3 linked regions of the Anolis sagrei genome follow. The protein of the gene in region 3 interacts with the protein of the main gene of each other region in a biochemical or structural test. Links are inferred from orthologs where the notes say so. Each region holds a gene or a part of one and is shown on either strand. Other genes may lie near its edges. The genes, in order: PTTG1, UBE2C and ANAPC11.

The links.
Region 1: of the proteins of ANAPC11 (region 3) and PTTG1, one has a biochemical effect on the other in vitro, tested with the Homo sapiens proteins (3 studies listed by BioGRID). The link is inferred for Anolis sagrei from reciprocal best matches to the Homo sapiens genes ANAPC11 and PTTG1.
Region 2: the proteins of ANAPC11 (region 3) and UBE2C form a complex in vitro, tested with the Homo sapiens proteins (66 studies listed by BioGRID). The link is inferred for Anolis sagrei from reciprocal best matches to the Homo sapiens genes ANAPC11 and UBE2C.

The regions. Positions count from the first base shown.
Region 1 is NC_090022.1:111,400,290-111,406,586, forward strand, and holds the start of PTTG1 (securin), read right to left. Parts: upstream 3,558-6,297; 5' UTR 3,526-3,557; intron 2,223-3,525; exon of another isoform or gene 2,084-2,222; intron 2,050-2,083; exon of another isoform or gene 2,015-2,049; intron 1,915-2,014; 5' UTR 1,807-1,914; intron 822-1,806; 5' UTR 802-821; coding exon 711-801; intron 1-710. UniProt on the Homo sapiens protein: Regulatory protein, which plays a central role in chromosome stability, in the p53/TP53 pathway, and DNA repair. Probably acts by blocking the action of key proteins.
Region 2 is NC_090024.1:248,940,826-248,947,122, forward strand, and holds the start of UBE2C (ubiquitin-conjugating enzyme E2 C), read right to left. Parts: upstream 4,548-6,297; 5' UTR 4,483-4,547; coding exon 4,370-4,482; intron 4,267-4,369; coding exon 4,239-4,266; intron 1,879-4,238; coding exon 1,792-1,878; intron 1-1,791. UniProt on the Homo sapiens protein: Accepts ubiquitin from the E1 complex and catalyzes its covalent attachment to other proteins. In vitro catalyzes 'Lys-11'- and 'Lys-48'-linked polyubiquitination.
Region 3 is NC_090022.1:113,660,205-113,666,501, reverse strand, and holds the start of ANAPC11 (anaphase-promoting complex subunit 11), read right to left. Parts: upstream 4,031-6,297; 5' UTR 3,944-4,030; exon of another isoform or gene 3,812-3,943; intron 196-3,811; 5' UTR 152-195; coding exon 43-151; intron 1-42. Other genes in the region: ALYREF (THO complex subunit 4), read left to right, coding at 4,121-4,366, 4,861-4,992. UniProt on the Homo sapiens protein: Together with the cullin protein ANAPC2, constitutes the catalytic component of the anaphase promoting complex/cyclosome (APC/C), a cell cycle-regulated E3 ubiquitin ligase that controls progression through mitosis and the G1 phase of the cell cycle.

The sequences.
Region 1 (6,297 bases), about 2.3 Mb from region 3:
TAAAAAACCCTGCCTGATGAGGTCATAAGTAATATTCAGAAACCTTTGACTGTTGCCAAATTTTTCAGGACTATTTAGGATAAGGGCCCACGGTTTAAGGAGCAGTGCTCTAGAGCAATTAATACAAGCACTTTAGACCTCATAACCTGACCAGGTGAAAGCCTAGTGGAGGAAGAAATCTTCCAACTCTGCTCAGGTGTTATGACTTGCAAGGGAGAAAGTTCTAAGTGTGAAGTACTACTGGAAGCTTCCTCATTGAAAGGCAACCAATTAATAGTATGTGTCCCTTCTATCCATTTTTTTCTTCCTTTGCTTGTTCAAAGTTTTCTTTCTAAAACATTGTCTTCTGCTCATTGCTACTCTTTACATAAAAGCTTCACTAACTCCTTTTCAAGTATCTTCTTAAAACATATGTTTATATTCCATCAAGGAACTCAAGATACTACACACAGGGTTCCCCAAAAGGAACATATTCAACAACTGATCAAACCCTCACTACAATTCAGTAATGTGGCTGCTTATGAAATGTGCCCAGAGATTAGCAATTATGTACAAGATGAGAAAAATAAATGCATAGCTGACTACGATAAAGAATGAGAGTAACCACAGGGTGAGTAAGAACTCGCTCATTAAAGTCACTAGTACTTTCAAGCAAAGGGGCATATTAGTTCTTTTATATCGGCTTTACATTTGAATTAATGCATACTCACAAGGTGCTGGTAGGGTTCTGAGTCGATCCTTAGAGGCAGTAACAATGCCAGCATCACCATTTTCTTTGTCTATGTATATGCGCGTTGCCATTCCTTTTGCATCAGATGGTCCTAAAATAGACACCACAGCTGCAGTAGCAGATCCTATATTGCTCATGTAATAATGCCCCAAAAATACAACAGGAAACATGTTCTCTCAAGAACACCCAGTCAAGCTTCTTGGAGTGAAAACAAACATTATTAGTTTGACACACTGTTTAAGACTTGTGAAGCTTCCTTCTACTGAGCTGGGACAAACACTACAGTATTTTATATAAGGAATTTTAAAAACATTCACTGCTCTCTAATCCAGGCATGGGCAAAGTTTGGCCCTCCAGGTGTTTTGTACTTTAACTCCCACAATTACTAACCGCTGGTTAGGAATTCCAACCGGCTGTTATACATTGTGGGAGTTGAAGTCCAAAACACCTGGAGGGCCGAACTTTCCCCATACCTGCTCTAGTCACTTGCATCAGAAAAATAAAAGCTCACAAGTTCATCAGTGTGGTATTTAAATATTTAATTAAAATTTGAACTCTATATAAATAAAAATGGAATGTTCGTTTGTGGGATTAACATAACTCAAATTGACACCAAATGTGGACACAATACACCTATCAGGCCAACGAGTGACCATCACTCATAAAAACACTGAAAAACACAGCAGAAGGGGCTTAAAAAGCCAGAAAATAAAAAATACATTACAACGCATTTGCATAACCACATATATACACATACATACACACACAAAACACATATACACAGACTGGGCCACAGCAAGGTGTGGCAGGGGATGGCTAGTACTTAATAAAAGTACATTTGCAAACAGAACAATTTTTTTTCAAAAGCGATTAAAAAAACAAAGCAGAAAAGTCTTGAAAAGGTACGATGTTCAAAGGTTTGTTGTTTTAACTTATTTGAATACTTTCCATGAACCAGTGGTTTCAACAGTCACAAGATTTTTTTAAAAAAAGTTACTTTTTTACTAAAGCCAACAACATGCATGCCGACACTTTTGGCTTATTTGACACAGTTTCTCCTGTCTGGAGCTACTCACTCAAACTACACTCTCTGGAAAGCAACCAACTGCAGTAACACAGCCAAATAACACCAGTCTATCCTGGTTGAGATCTTTTGGAAGGAAGCTTCGACCAACAGGAAACAACTAGGAATTAAAGCAAAAACACAAAACCATAAATGTTTATCCTTGTTCCTGGTACATTATTAATTATATCTTATTTTTAATTATGCTTATAATATTATACAAAATAAAGGTGCAGTCCTGAATCTCAAAGCATTAAGCAGCATTCCATTAAAAATGAAGAGAAAAACACCTGCAAACCCCACTTATGAATCCCAACCCAACCCACCGTGCCTTCAAAGTGAGTTCATAGAGTTCAGTCTAACAGGGAACTGTTTTTAAAATCGTTAACGTCGTACGTCATTGGTTGGTTCCCATCCTCGCAGGACGCCAGCAATCCTGATTGGCTGTTTTGCTAAACCAACAGCAGCAGAGAAGAAGGGCGCGAGCGGAGTTTGCGCAGTCGGGAGTAAACCTCGGAAAATACTGTAGGTGTTAGTTGCAGGACTCAGGAATTCACACCGTTTGAGATCCCTTTAAGCGCTGTGGCTCAATGCTATGGAGTCATGGGAGTCGTACTTTGGCAAGGCACTCCTTGGCAGAGAAGGCTAAGGGCCCTGGAAAACTACATCTCCCCTGGTTCCATAGCATTGCGCCATGGCGGTCATAGTGGTGTCAAACTGCATTCACCCTACAATGTAGATGCACCTTAGCAGATGCTGGCCTGTGCTGCAATCCAGAGAGAGCACCCTACAGTGCCGCTTTGAAAAGTTAATTTTGGGTGCATCTACATTGCAGAATTAGTGCCGCATTGATACAGCTTTAACTGCCAGGGCTCAATGCTATGCGATCCTGGGCGTTGTAGTTTTACCTTCTCTGCCCAAGGCTGTTGCCTCACCAAGCCACAAAACCCCAGGATCCCATAGCCATGGCAGTTAAAGTGGTCCCAAACTGCATTATTTCTACAGCACAGAAGTGGCCTTTTTGGATTGCAGGTCCCAGAATCCCCAAGCCAAGCGTGACCAAGGGCAGTTTGAGGAATGCTGGGAATTGCAGTCAAAAACACAGCTGGTACATAAGGACACTGAAAGGGCCCTAAGGCCCTGCCATACAATCCAGATAATCAAAGATATTACACATCTGCTTTGAACTGGATTATATGAGTCTACACTGCCATATAATCCAGTTCAAATAAAATAAATTGGATATTATATGGCAGTGTAGAAGGGGCCTAAGGGAGTTATGCCTCAGGGCCCTTCCACATAGCCATAAAACCCAAAATATCAAGGCGAGTAATCCACAATATCTGTTTTGAACTGGGATATCTGAGTCCACACTGCCATATAATCCGGTTCATTATGGATGTTATACAACTGTGTGGAAGGAGGCTCAGGGCTGCCCTGAAAGGGAGATATGATTTCCCTTCTCTGCAAAAGGCTGAGAAATCTCTCCAATGACCCAGCTGCCCAAAAGGAAGAGCCCAGCGCTCTACCTGTCACCTCCCATTCTGGGCTTGTAGTTCAGCGAGGCCCAAGAGCTCTCTAACTGGGAGTTCTTAATGTCCTTCGCTAAACTATAAATCCCATGATTCCATTGGTCTGTTTCCATAGTAGTGCTCTAGCTATGGCTCTGCAGGTTCTTAAACCCAATCCTTTTTTTTTTTTTTTCAAGCAGCCATTCACTCTCTGCAGTCACCCAGAATGAACGCTGGGCAGCCGAAGCTGATTGGGAAGGATCCCTTGCTTCGGAGGTGAATTAAGCTCTATCCCTTTAAGAAAAAAAAGTAGGAGGGGCGAATAGGGCCGCGCGCTGCATTATGGGAAACGGAAGTGAGGCCTACTTAGTGTCGTAGCCTCAGTAAAGCTGAAGGAGTGAATGCCTTCGACTTTTGGGTGAGTCTGAGGGGCTTTTCCTGGTGTTTCCGGAAGCGGAGACTGTTTTTGTATGTGTTGTGGTGTGTCTTCTCCTGGGATCTCAACTCCTCCTTCAAACTACCTTTCAATTACACTTGTTTACACAACGGACGTAATCCCTCGCTCTTGTTGTTGTCAAGTCAGTTCTGATTTATGGCGACTTTAAAGCGAAACTGCCACAGGATTTCTTGGCAGGAGTTCATCAGAAGGGGCTTGACTTTGCCTTCCTCTGAGGCTGAGAGAGTGTGACTGCTCCGAGTCCACTCGGTGGATTTCTAGGGTTGAATAGGGATTGGAATTGGTCTCCAGCTGTACTGTAGAATTGATGCAGTTTGACACCACTTTAACTGCCATGGCGCAGTGGTATGGAATCCTGGGAGCTGTTGTTTTGTAAGGCTTCTGCACTCTGTGACAGAGAAAGCCAAAGACGTTGTCAAACTACAGATCTCAGTGAATTTGGTGTAATAATACCAATCCTACAGTGTAAATACATCCTGTGTTGCCATATGTTTCCACTATTTATTTACCATATTTGTATACCGCCCCTCTCAACCCAGAGGCGACTCGAGGCGGTTTACAATCGGCAGTCAATGCTCCCAAACAACATAAAATACAGTTAAAAGCAAGGCTGTTGCCTCACCAAGCAACAAAACCCCAGGATCCCATAGCCATGGCAATTAAAGTGGTCTCAAACTGCATTATTTCTACAGTACAGAAGTGGCCTTCCCTATAGTCATGTAAAGTTAGAACCATCTGCTGCAACACCGGATGGGAGTGCCATATTGTTTGCAGCAGGGATCAGAAACAGAATGCTCTCCATGAAACCACAGTAGGTATACCTTGCTTTGGTATTTAGTTCCTTTATATTTGTGTGTTTTATTTGTCAATACGTATACTGTCCAGATGTCCTAAAAGTGCCAAATCCCATCTGGTCTTGGAAGTTAAGGAAGAACTCCAGCCCCAATTAGGACTTGAATGGGAAAGCAACATAGTAATGTCTACACTCTTAACTGTTTAGAATTCTAGAAGAAAACCTATTCCTGACCAAGAGTCTTCCTTAATTTATAGCTTTTTATCACCTGCCATTGATTCTGAAAGACCTCAAAACATAGTGGAAAAACCTAAATGTGGATATGTGTGTGCCTTTAGGTTGATTTATATTGATTTATGGTATCAAAACTGCATTAATTCTATAGTGTAGATATACCCAGGGACAGGATAGTTGAGTTTTTAAGCAGCATATGTACTTAGTGTCTCAAACATCTATTTATAAAGGAATTTTTAGAAAGTATCACAAGTGTAATTATGAACGTCTCGGCTCTGTTTCTTACCACAGTCTCCTTCAATAGCTGTCAAAAGGGCTAGTTAATGCTCTAGTAGTGGTTCTCAACCTGTGGATCCCCAGATGTTTTGGCTTTCAACTCCCAAAAATCCTAACAGCTGGTCAACTGGCTGGGATTTCTGGGAGTTGTAGGCCAAAACACTTGAGGACCCACAGGTTGAGAAGCATTACTCTATATAGAGCATTCTTCCCTAAACTAGCTAGGAGGAATTGCTGGAAAGAAAACCATAAGCAGCAGGTAAACATATGCAAATGTGGGCAGTCATAAGCATACTAAATATGCTACAATTTGTTTTACAGTGTAGATTTCTTTAATCATAATCTTTTTTTTAAACAGATAGTAATATTTTTTTTAATTACAAAGCTTTTACGCTTAAATTAATCCTGACCTATAGTTTCTTTTACATCTTTCAAAAACTTGACTGTTCAGAACATCAATTATGGTTGTTGCTATTGTTTTAAAAATTGTACTATTATATTCTGTGTCATGTCTGCAGAATATCTACTATAGGAGCATATAAAAGTGTTTCACATAGGTTCACATGACTTAACCAAGCATAGTAGCTTAGATACTAAATAAGCTTATGTAACTAGCAGAACTGTAAAACAGGTCTTTCCATCCCTGGTGCTTCAGTTCCTTGCAGTTGGAAATGTATAGTAAACATATAATACAGTTCTCAAGATGTTGTTCTTCTCGATTAAAAACAGTTTCAAATGCCACATTGGCCAGTACTTAAAGAAAGTTCTTCAGTTGTTGTTTAGAACAAATAAATGCTAGTTAGTTCAAATAGATGAGGGAAAATTAAAACATCGTGGAGGTGATTGTGAAACTATTATCACAGAGAATAATATTATTATTATTTTAATTGCAATGCCAACACAAAAGTAAGAAACCCATTAGAAGTGTTAACAACTAGGCCTGGGTAACAACGGAAAAATTTGTTTCTAAAATCGATTCGTTTTTTGGGGGTTTTTGCGTTTCGATTTTAAAAAGAATTCCGAAATTTTTCTTTTAAAAAGTTCGATATTTACGAAATTTCGTAAATGTTAAAAAAATTACGAAACAATAACGAATTGATTCGTTAATGGCGGATGCGACCGCGAAATACGCTAAAAAACCTCCAAATGGGACAGGGGGGAACTTCTGAAGCTTCCCTCTCCCTCTGTTGTTGACTGTTGGTGTGATATTATAATTTTTTTTCACTAATTAAA
Region 2 (6,297 bases), on a different chromosome or scaffold from region 3:
ATCCAGCCTCTGCTTCAAAGCTTCCAAAGAAGGAGCCTCCACCACACTCCCTCCGGGGCAGAGAGTTCCACTGCTGAACGGCTATCACAGTCAGGAAGTTCTTCCTCATGTTCAGGTGGAATCTCCTCTCTTGTAGTTTGAAGCCATTGTTCCCTTGCGTCCTAGTCTCCAGGGAAGCAGAAAACAAGCTTGCTCCTTCCTCCTCCCTGTGGCTTCCTCTCACATATTTATACATGGCTATCATCATATCTCCTCTCAGCCTTCTCTTCTTCAGGCTAAACATGCCCAGTTCCCTAAGCCGCTCCTCATAGGGCTTGTTCTCCAGACCCTTGATCATTTGAGTCGCCCTCCTCTGGACACTACTCCAGGCACTGCAAACTTGCCCCCCCCCCCAGGTGTTTTGGACTTTAACTCCCACAATTCCTCACAGCCAGCCAGAGTTGGAGTCCAAACTACCTGGAGGGGAACTTGGCCCATGGCTGTCCTCAACGGAGTCCCCCTCAGGGGAGAGAAAGTGGGGCGCACACAAACACAGCCGAGCCTCGCTTCTCCAACTGTCACTCATCCAGACTGACGTATTATTATTATTTATTATTTACAGCATTTATATTCCATCCTTCTCACCCTGCAGGGGACTCAATGTACACATACATGGCAAACATTCAATGCCAATTAGACATACAACGTATATACACAGAGGCTATTTAACTTTTTCTGGCCGCCAGAGGAGCTGTCGCTTTAATCGTCCATCTGCAACACTGAGGAAGTACTTCCACATTCCCTGCATGCTTTTTTGCTGGAGTGCTTTTTATGACCTCATAAATTAGTTAATTAGCCTCCCCACACATAGATGGTCCCTAATTTTCCTACTTGATAGATGCAACTTTCGGGTTGCAAAGGTCGACAACAAGCTACACAAAATTGGTCGGAAGCTCACTCCGATCCAGTCTGGCTTCGAACCTTCTGGTCAGAGTGATCTTAATGCAGCTGACACTCAGCCTGCTGTGCCACAATCCCAGTGCTGTTCCAGGTGTCCCTCTCAGGTGGGCCACGTCTCTTGCAATGTGGGGGTCCGTGGCATTGGGGAACAGCCCCCCTCCATTTCCCAGACAGACCCTTAGAGACACCCAGGCACTGGATGGGCCCGGTTTGCTCTCCTTGGGCTTGGCTTTCTCCCACCAGGCTGATGCCTTTAATGCCCAGGTCAGCCAAGGCCGGGGGTTTGGGGGCCGATCCCCTCCCCAAATGGGACCCCAGCTTCCGTCCTTCAAAGTCCCAAGTGGCGTTTGGGGGCAGCAATCAGACCCAAACGGGTCAGCATTTAGCTCTGGATGAGGATAAAGCAAGAAGGCGTTTGGAGATGGGCGAGCAGATTCAATTGGGGGGTGGGGGGGGTGTTCTGGTCCTCAAACAGTGGGGGTGTGTGGGTCTCTTGGGAAGACTTTGGGTGGCACAATGGGTTGACCCCTTGTGCTGCTGAACTGCTGACCTGAAGGTTGGCAGTTCAAAGCTGCAGGTTGGGGGTGAGCTCCCGCTGTTAGCCCTAGCCAAACTAGCAGTTCAAAAACATGCGAATGTGAGTAGACCAATAGGTCCTGCCTCAGTGAGAAAAGGCAAAAAGATGTTTCAAGCAGTCATGCTGGCCACACAACCAGGAGGATGTCTATGGACAACACCGGCTCCTTGGCTTGGAAATGGAGAAAAGCGATACTATTATTATTCCTAATAATGATGCTGACCTCTATCCCGAAGGAAGGGAGGGTGTGTCCCCCCCCCCCCCCCCGCACTCACCGTCCCAGCTGCTCCAACGATGGTCCCGATCCACTTGAAGAGGTTTTCCGACTCTGGGAAGGCCGAGACGCCCTTGTTCCCCGACATCTGTGGGGTGGTGAGTGGTGGAAGAGGTCAGGAGTGGGGGGGGGGGGGGGCGAAGGGAGTGCCCCCCCCCCCCCAAGTAGGAGGTGTGTGGGCCCAGATTCCTGGCACACAAGTGACGCTCCTTTGGGTTGGATCAAGCTATCCAGACCCCCTCGTGTCTCCCTCCCGTGACTGCAAGCCCAGCAGCCCCAGAGAACCCTCTGCTTGGGGGGGGGGGGATTGGAGAAGGGGGCTGGACTAGATGGCCTCTGGGGTCTCACACAACCCTATGGGTCTATGAAGGGCTCCTTCTGCTAAAACAAGAGGGGTGGGAAGGAGCGCTTGGAGGGCTTCCCTGTGGTCACTGGGGTGGGGTGGGGGGCAACATCAGCGAAGTAGGAGAGAAACATTAACTCCTTCCTGGCTTTGATGTTTTGCTTTCTCTTGGCCCAAAGAAAGCCATTTTTCCCCCAGTTGCAAGGGCTGAATGCTAGGACTGGGGCCTGCCCAAACTATAACTCCCAGCATTCCACAGCCCTGGGCCATGGTGGTTAAAGTGGGGCTGAGCTGCGTGGGTTCTGCAGTGTTCAAGGCCTTGCGAAACCACAACTCCCAGCATTCCTCAGCCCTGAGCTGGGGGCCAAACGGCATTCTTTCTGGAGAAGGCTTCCAAGGGCGGGGGTGGGGGGCAGCAGAGGGACCCCCAGGAAAAAGGGCCCGGCCGCCAGGACGTTGAAACCCCCCCCCCCCCAGGCTTGAAATCCACATTTTCTAGGCGTTGGCGGAGTCATCGTTGCTCTTTGTTTTGGTTCTATCTGCTTTGACAGTCTTATGGTCTGACCTAAGTGTTTTCAGTATTTTATTCTGCCTTGAACCATAATAAAATTATTATTATTATTATTATTATTAGCCATCCCCTGGCAAGTATGGCTGTGGCTCAGTCTATGTATATGTGTTTTGTGTTTGTATATATGTGTGTATATATGCTTTTGTGAATGCATTGTAATGTAATTTTTTATTTTTGGCTTTTTAAGTCCCTTCTGCTGTGTTTTTCGGTGTTTTTATGAGTGATGGTCACTCCCTGGCCTGAGAGGTGTCTTGTGTCCACATTGGGTGTCCATTCGCCCAATGGTTTTGGAGTTGTGTTAATCCCACAAATGAACTCTGCATTTTTATTTAGATAGGTGCTAGCCATCCCCTGGCACGTATGGCTGCGGCCCAGTCTGTGTATATGCGTTTTGTGTGTGCATATATTTGTGTCTATGTGTAAATATATGTGTGTATTTGTGCATGTTTGTGGTTTTGCGCATGCGCTGTAGCGTCTTTTTGCTTTTGTGGCTTTTGAAGTCCCTTCTGCTGTGTTTTTTCAATGTGTTTATGAGTGATGGTCACTCGTTGGCCTGAGAGGGGTCTTGTGTCCAAATTTGGTGTCCATTCGTCCAGTGGTTTTTGAGTTATGCTAATCCCACAAACAAACAACGCATTTTTATTTATATAGAGTAGCCACCCCCTGGCATGTGTTGCTTTGGCCCAGCCTGTGTATATCTGTTTTGTGTGCGTATATATTTGTGTGTGTTTGTGTATATGTGTGGTTTTGCGCATGCGCTGTAGTCTTTTTGCTTTTGTGGCTTTTGAAGTCCCTTCTGCTGTGTTTTTTTAACGTTTTTATGAGTGATGGTCACTCCCTGGCCTGACCACAACGTCCTCCCCTGAAGGCCGGCCTGGCCCAACTCTGGCCCTCCCTCCCCCCCTCTCTCCCTTCAGGGATTTTGCACATGCGTTGACATGTATTAACGTAACTCAGGAACCAGTGGGCGAATGGACACCCAATGTGGACACAAGGCCCCTCTCAGGCCAGGGAGTGACCGTCACTCAGAAAAACACTGGAAAACACAGCAGAGGAGACTTCAAAAGCTAAAAATATACATGGCAACACAAGGGAGGGGGGAGGGAGGCTGTGGCCCTGAGCCGTGTGGCTGAAGAGAGAGAGGCGCCTGTCCTCATGGAGGTCGCCGAGGGGGAGGGGTCCCCATTGATTGGCAGCCAAAGGGGAGGGGTCCTTGGTTGAGGGATACCCCTCTCTTCCCCCTCCACGGCTGGGACTGCAGCATAATACAGTCCTTACGTACCTCCTGCCATGCCCAGCACTTTTGATTGTATGCATTACATGTGGCCCGGCCTTTAGTTTTAAATGCGTCCTGATGTTATGGCTTTAATGTTTATTGTTTGGCTTTTTGAGTTTTGTTGTTGTGTTTGTTGTGTTGTGTTGAGGCCTGTGTGAGCCGCACCGAGTCCTTCGGGTACAAATAAAGGTAATAAATAATAATAATAATAATAACTAATAAATAATAATAATAATATAGTCTAGAAGGCCTACTCACCATCAGCGCCATGAGCTCCTGCTGCAGCCTGTGGACACAGAGAGAGAGGGAGAGAGGGGTCAGTGGGGGAGAGGAGGGAGAAAGGGAGGCTCCCCCTTGACCTTGCCCGGCCTTGCCCTGCCCTGCCCGACCTGCTCCGGACGGATCCCTTTCCGGCGGCGGCGCTCCCTGCGGCGGCGGCCTTGCCCGGGGCCGGGGTCCCGCTCGGGTCCGTGTTCTGCGAGGAAGAAGAAGAAGAAGCCATGCCTCGCTCTCTCTCTCTCTCTGCCTTCCTTCTGTCTCTTGTCCTTCTCTTCCTTCCTTCCTCCTTCCAGGCTCTCCTTCTCCTTCTGCCGCCGCCTCCCAGTTTGAATGTTGCCAAGCTCCAGGAGGGCCAATCAGCGCCGCGCTACCATACTCCTCAACCAATCGCGGAAAGGAGGCGGGGCCCGGCGGGGGAATCTGTTCCCATTGGGCAACGCCCCGCTGACGAGGCCAGGGAAGGAGGGCGGAAGGGGCGTGGCTTGGGAAAGGGAGGCGGCCTTAAAGGGGCAACACCGGCCCTCCTGCAGGCTGTGCTTTAGGCCAGGGCTTCTCCACCTGTGGGCCCCTCCCCAGGTGTTTTTTTTTTTAAATAAACTTTATTGTCATTTTCAATACAGCTATAAAAACAATAGAAAAGACGCCACTACAGAACACAAGAGGCTATGAGTAGGAAACTCTCCAGGTGTTTTGGCCTACCACTCCCACAAATCCCGGCCAGTTTACCACCTCTTAGGATTTCTGGGGGTTGGAGGCCAAAACACCTGGAGGAGGGACCCACAGGTGGAGAACCAGGGATTGAGGGATCAGGAGGCAATAGAATCCTAGAGTTGGGAGAGACCTCCTGGGCCATCCTCCAGTCCAACCCCATTCTGCCAAGAAGCAGGAATGTTGCCTTCAAACCACCCCTGACAGATGGCCATCCAGCCTCTGATTAAAAGCTTCCAAAGAAGGAGACTCCACCACACTCCCTCTGGGGAAGGCAGAGAGTTTCACTGCTGAACAGCTCTCACAGTCAGGACGTTCTTCCTCGTGTCCAGATGGCATTTCCTCTCTTGTAGTTTGGAGCCATTGTTCCGTTGCGCCCTAGTCTCTCTCCAGGGAAGCAGAAAGGAAGCTTGCTCCCTCCTCCTCCTCCCTGTGGCTTCCTCTCACATATTTATACATGTGAGAGGAAGCCATATTTGTTTCTTGACAAAAGCATGGCATAAATTAGTATAAAACCAATAAACATAGAAGGCACACAGGCCGCTAGATATCTTTTGACCCAAAATGGGCAACAGCAACAGCATTGTCTGCAGCCTCCAAGCACTCTTCCTGCGTGGGCAAGCCAGAAGAGCCAAGCCATCCCAGAGTAATAATAATCCTAGAGTAATAATACAGCTGGAAGAGACCACCTGGGCCATCTAGTCCAATCTCCTGCCAAGCAGGAAAAGCACAATCAAAACACCCCCGGCAGATGGCCCTCCAGCTATCATCATCATCATCATCATCATCTTTCGGGGGTGCTTTGAAGGCAATATTCCTGCTTCTTGGCAGACTGGGTTGGCCTCTTCCAATTCCAGGATTCTGGGATTCCATGATCAGCCAGAAAGACCAATGGCCCTGATGGTTGGGGATGGGGACGCTTCTCTCTTGCCCAAGGATGATGGTCTTCCAAGTGTAGTGGTCCGTAGGTGACTGTGGACCCACAGTGAGAACATCGGTTTCCAGACGGAAGGCGGTCCCAGTCAGGGTTGGCTTGACGCGCCTCCTTCCTCTTGGCATGTTTCTCCCTTTCGCCCTCCATTCAGGCTTCTGTGAATTCTGCAGCACTGCTGGTCACAGCTGACTTCCAGTTAGAGCACTCAGGGGCCAGGGCTTCCCAGTTGTCTCTCGGTGTCTGTGCCCATCTTTGAATCTGCCCAATCTCTCTTCCTGCCCACCTTTGTTGAGTGGGGAGTAGAGTGACTGCTTTGGGGCTCGTGTACGTGGGAAAGGGCAGGCACCTGAGGTTTTGAGGAACTTATGGCATTGCAGGCAAAGCCCTGTCTCGATG
Region 3 (6,297 bases):
GATCAAGAAAAATGTCAGTGGGCAGATAGTCCCAATACTCACAATCTGGGCAGCAGCCATTGAAGGCCATCCGGCAAATGCCACAATTCTCATCATTGGCAACCCAGAGCCAAGAGGCAACTCCATGCCAGCTCTTGATTTTCACTTTCATTGTGTTCAACTAAATACCACACTTAGATCAACCTAGTTTAGCACCTGAAGGGAGGAGAGAAAAAACCAATGGAAATCACTGTTTCTAAAATGGGAATCAGAGTTTCTAGAAATCAAAGTCTCTGTTTCCTAGCAAGATTGGAGCTGGAATGCAATTTAAAAACTATTTAACCTATTTAACCTTTCCACCAGGGTAGCAATAGATGGCATTATAAATTATATTAATATTCGTCTTACAATGTATATGCAGTCCAGGAGGTATGTTAAGCTTGTGCCTTCTTTAGGGATGATGCAGGACAGACTACAACCAAATTCCAGATTAGGACAGGATGGAAGCAGAGATTTTTGAGACATTAAAGCAAAGTAATATATATTAATTCTTACCTATGATTACATTGTTTTTATAGTATAACCATTACAGCAGATGAATACCAAGGTCCTAATGCCCAGCATAACTATACAAAAGCATTGCAGAAGAACAGCAGCATTAAGACATTGCAAAGCTGGGTACATTATTAATATTGAACTCAACAAAATTTGAAGTAGTTGGGTAGGAATCATATCCCATGTGGGTAGAATTCAAAGGCATGACTGCATTAGTCTAGAATACCAGTATGCAAAGGGATCTTGCAGTACCTTAGAGGCAAAATGAGACAACAAAACTGATAACATAACCTTTCCAAGATCAAGTCTATTTTGTCAGTAGCTCGCCACAGAGTTTGTGGGCATGGTGCTAAAATGACCAGTTCAGTGTTAATGATGTCACTGAGGAACAAAGGGAGTCGAGAAGATGTTGCCTAAAGGCAAGATAAGTAGATAAGCATATGAATGGTGGAGGGAGTTCTTGGACTGTCCTGTACCTGTTTTGCATTTCTATGGCTATTCACACATTCTGTGTATAAAGATCTCTTTACCCTAGGGATAAATAGGAATGTCTGGTGCTAACCCACCTGATAAACATGTATGTACTGAAACACAATCATTTTTTTTATACTATAATTAACTATTTGATATTGCTGTTTACAATATAAATAAACTGACACAGAACTTCTAGGACCATAAACTTTTATCACATAGATTTTATGAATTTTTCCCAAGCACTTCAGTCCATGCATCTGAGAAATCGGACGAATTATGAAAGTTTAAGCTACTAGCGTCATTCTTTCAGTCTCTAAGTGCCACAAGACCCCTTTGCATACTGTTAAGACTGCAATAGTTCCTATCGCAGCCCTTGAAAGGAAGAAAAGCAAAAGATATCCATATTTTGCAGGATATTCTCAACTGAGTCTTATTTAATTTATATGTTGCCTTTCTTATAAATAAATAAATAAATAAACCAATAATAAAACATTAAAACAATTTAAACTATCATGTTAAAGCAGTACATAATTATTGAAAGCACATATCAAAAATAAAGCATTCTTCCCCGTGGGCAATTACATATTATCAGATTAATATTTTAAACACTGTATTTTCAGTTACCAGCTCCCCGTATCTTGCCATCTTCTTTTAAACAGCTTGTAAGAAGTAAACCCTAGGTAGCTGAAGAACTAGGGACTTCAGCACACTAGAGCATCTATCAACCTTAAATCCAGTTTCTGCCTCCTGCAGAATTCTGGGTTTGTAGTTTAGAGAGTGGCCTTTAAAAAGCTCATCCAGAGAGGTCTTGGAACTCACTAAACTACAAACCCCAGAATTTTGCAGGAGGGAACAACTGGATTTAAAGTGGATAGATGCTCTAGTGTACGCTTGGGCAAACTTCAGCCCTCCAGGTGTTCTGGACTCCAACTCCCACAATTCCTAACAGCTTACTAGCTGTTCGGACTTGTGGGAGTTAGAGTCCAAAACACCTGGAGCACCCAAGTTTGCCCATGTTTGCTCTATTGTGATGAAGTAGCTGCTTTTGTAACAGTGACCTAAAATTAATGGTTGGCTCAAACTATAGCAGGCTCTTTGCACTATCTGTGTGTCTGTATACACACAACACTTCAAGCTGATCATTGACTGATTGCGTTATTGTAGGTTTTTTGGGCTATATGGCCATGTTCTAGAGGCATTCTCTCCTGACATTTCGCCTGCATCTATGGCAAGCATCCTTGTGAGGTCCTCACAACCTCTGAGGATGCTTGCCATAGGCGAAACATCAGGAAAGATGCCTCTAGAACAGGGATCCTCAAACTTTTTAAACAGAGGGCCAGGTCACAGTCCCTAAAACTGTTGGAGGGCTGGATTATAATTTGAAAATAACATGAATTCCTATGCATGCTGCACATATCTTATTTGTAGTGCAAAAAACACTTTAAAGCAATACAATATTTAAAATGAAGAACAATTTTAACAAATGTAAACTTATTAGTATTTCAATGGGAAGTGTGGGCCTGCTTTTGGCTGAGATAGGATTGCTGTTGTTATAGCCTAAAGCAAGGGTCCTCAAACTAAGGCCCGAGGGCCGGATGCGGCCCTCCAAGGTCATTTACCCGGCCCTCGCTCAGGGTCAACCTAAGTCTGAAATGACTTGAAAGCACACAACAACAATCCTATGTCATCACCCAAAAGGAGGCCCACACTTCCCATTGGAATACTATTAAGTTTATATTTGTTAAAATTGGTTTTTGTTTTAATTATTGTATTGTTTTAAAGTGGTTTTTGCACTACAAATAAGATATGTGCAGTGTGCATAGGAATTCATTCATATATTTTTTTCAAATTATAATCGGGCCCTCCAACAGTTTGACGGACTGTGACCTGGCCCTCTTTTTAAAAAGTTTGAGGACCCCTAGCCTAAAGCATCTGATATTTGGTGGCTGTCTCCCATCTAGGAGCTATGCAGTTTTCAAGATCAGGCAGACCTTGGCACCTTTACAACTGTTAGGCGCACACTGACTGCTGCGTAGTCAATTGGCATGAATCTATAAAAGTAAAGGTTTCCCTTGACATTAAGCCTAGTTGTGTCCGACTCTGGGGGTTGGTGCTCATCTCCATTTCTAAGTTGAAGAGCCAGTGTTGTCCATAGATACCTCCAAGGTCATGTGGCCAGCATGACTCCATGGAGTGCTGTTACCTTCCTGCCGGAGCTGTACCTATTGATCTACCCACATTTGCATGTTTTCAAACTGCTAGGTTGGCAGGAGCTGGACTTACAGCGGGAGCTCACCCTGCTCCCCAGATTCGAACAGCCAATATTTAGGTTAGCAAGTTCAGCAGCTCAGCGGTTTAACCGGCTGCACCACCAGGGGCCCTGGCACCAATGTAATGGCTCTGCTCTCGTTGGAACTAGCAGCTTGGCCTGGGCAATGCTTCAGCGTTGGGCTATTATTACGTGCGGATCTCTTTACCAAAGAGCAGCCGCCAAACAACAGCAGCAGCCACAAGACTGTAGTCTGAGGTCTCCGTCTACACTGGCCATTTATTGCAGTTCCAAAGCGATTTTGCTGTGCAGTCAGATGGCTACATGAGAAATCCTGGAGCCAGTTTGAGGCCCAGAAAGTGCTGAAAGCCCTGAGGCACATTAAGGGCTTTGCATTCAAGGGAGTTTGTCGCCTGGTTGCCGAACTGTATGAAATGTTTAGTGCAGACGGGGCTTTGGGGGGAACAGCCCCCTCCCCTGCCCCGAGGCAGCATCCTCCTCCTCCTCCAACCTTCCCGCCTCCCTTCCCCTTACCGGAAGTCCCGCCCCCAAGGGCTCTCCCATAGTTCCTCGCGCACCCAAGCCCTTAAAACCGAGCGCGAGAGGCCCCTTGGCGCACTTCTTTCAGCGGAGGAGCCCGGCACGAGCGCAAGCGCGCCCACCCACCGCGCTCTTCCCTTCCTTTCTTTCCCGCCTCCTTCTCCTTCTTCTTCCTCCTCAGCCAGGCTCCTTCTTTTTCTCCTTCGCCGCCCTTCCCTCTGTATCCCCGCCTCATCCGTTTCCGGTCCCCTCGCGCAGCGCGGCCGGAAGCGTAGGCCCCAGGAGCCGGAGGGAGCCGCCATCATGGGCGACAAAATGGACATGTCTCTGGACGATATTATCAAGCTCAACCGGAGCCAGCGAGGCGGAGGCGGGCGCGCCGGGCGAGGCCGGGGGCGAGGGGCCGCGGGGCGAGGCGGCGGAGGAGGCGGCGGCGGCGCGGGGCGAGGAGGCGGAGGCGCGGGGCGGGCAGGAGGCGGAGGCCCCATCCGGAACAGAGCCGCCTTGTCCCGGGGAGGCGGCAGGAACAGGCCGGCGCCCTACAGCCGGGTACGTTTCCGCCAGGCGTCTCCTGGGGGTCTGCCTTCGGGCTCATCTGGACTCTCACTGCATTCGCAACTCGTGATAGCACTTGGGCCTGCACCTGGGGGAGAAAACGCAGGGAAGCCTAGGCTTATACTATACGGCAGTGGTTCTCAACCTGTGGGTCCCCAGATGTTTTGGCCTTCAATTCCCAGAAATCCTAACAGCTGGTAAACTGGCTTGGATTTCTGGGAGTTGTAGGCCAAAACACCCGGGGACCCACAGGTTGAGAACCACTGCTCTAGGGGCTGTAGTCTGAAAATAAGGGGACATGAGACCTTAAGACAAGTGGTTTGCCACTTGTCGGTCCCCAGTATTTTGGCCTACAAGTCCCAGAAAGTTTACCAGCTGTTAGGATTTCTGGGAGTTGAAGGCCAAAACATCTGGGAAGCCACAGGTTGAGAACCAATGCCTTAAGATATGCTGATCAGTTACTGACTTGGGGTGCCCTTTCTTTCCAGCCCAAACAACTTCCAGAAAAGTGGCAACATGATCTCTTCGAAAGTGGCTTTGGTCCTGGCGCTGGTGTGGAGACAGGTGGAAAACTTCTGGTCTCTAATCTAGATTTTGGCGTGTCAGATGCGGACATACAGGTAGGTTTTCCCTTCATCTCTAATAATAGGTGGCCCAGTGTTGGAATTTGTTCTAACTCAGGCATGAGCAAACTTCATCCCTCCAGGTGTTTTGGACTCCAATTCCTAACAGCTGGTAGGCTGTTAGGAATTGTGGGAGTTGGAGTCCAAAACACCCGGAGGGCCGAAGTTTGCTCATGCCTGAGCTAGCTGATAAGGTTGTGTAATGGAGACCGCCTTTATTTTGGGCATCTTATTGCAAATTTCATCTGTGTGGACATGGGTGTTTTTTTATGATTGTGACAAATGTCTTAATGTTTGGAGAGAAGCAGAAATGTCTCTCTGTGAAATTATCAGCATTAATATTTATTTCCTTTGATAGTTTGGGATTGTTAGCAAACACATTGATATTCATAGGCTGTCTTGTTTTGTGTAGAGTACATATATGAACATTTTCTAAACAATTTCATAAGCTTAGTACTATAGTAGATATATCTGTTCTACACACTTCTTTTTGTAATCCTTGGGATATGTGGATCTCTATTGGATTATTTTTTTCTGTGCAGGGAAGTCTGAACCTAAGGCTAACCTATACAAAGACAGAAAATTATTAATTAAAAAATCATTAAAATTTTATTTCTAGTCTGTCCTATCTCCCTGAAAGGACTCAGGGCGATTTCTAATACAAAAGCAAATATTCAATGCCATATGCAACCATAAAAACACAGCACCATAAAATAACAATGAAACATGGCTAAAATGCATGCATAAAATAAACTCTATGAGGAGGGTAAACAATCAGGCTTTTTTGCAGGGAGAAAATTTTATCCTGTTGAACCACATTTCCCAGTACTGTTTATCCTTTGAAATAAAGCCAATGTTGTATCAGACAATAGGCAAACAAGAATATATTGTGGTTTGGTTGTAGGGTACAATGGCTTTTATGACTTCAGATGAACATATGCTCACACACTGGATTCATGAAGGCCAGACTTTTTGCCAATCTGCTCTTAAAACAGCATAAGGCAAAAGACACTTGCATGATTTGAGATTCAAACATGGCAATGGTTTATATAGTGTTATGCAAGATCACTTAACTTGTTTAGGAGTATGTAGCTTAAGCAGGGTAAGCCGCTTCAAATGCCCAAGAAGCAGTTCTCCACCACAGTGGGCTCCACTACAGAAAGTACAGCAGGGAACTTGTTTTCCATAATTATTCTTCTGATTTTATTTGTAGTGGGGCTATGAGGAATGCAACCACTCCACTTTATTTTGTGGCTGAGGCACCTTGGTGGAGGTCTCATCAACATTGCCTCCTCAGGAGAT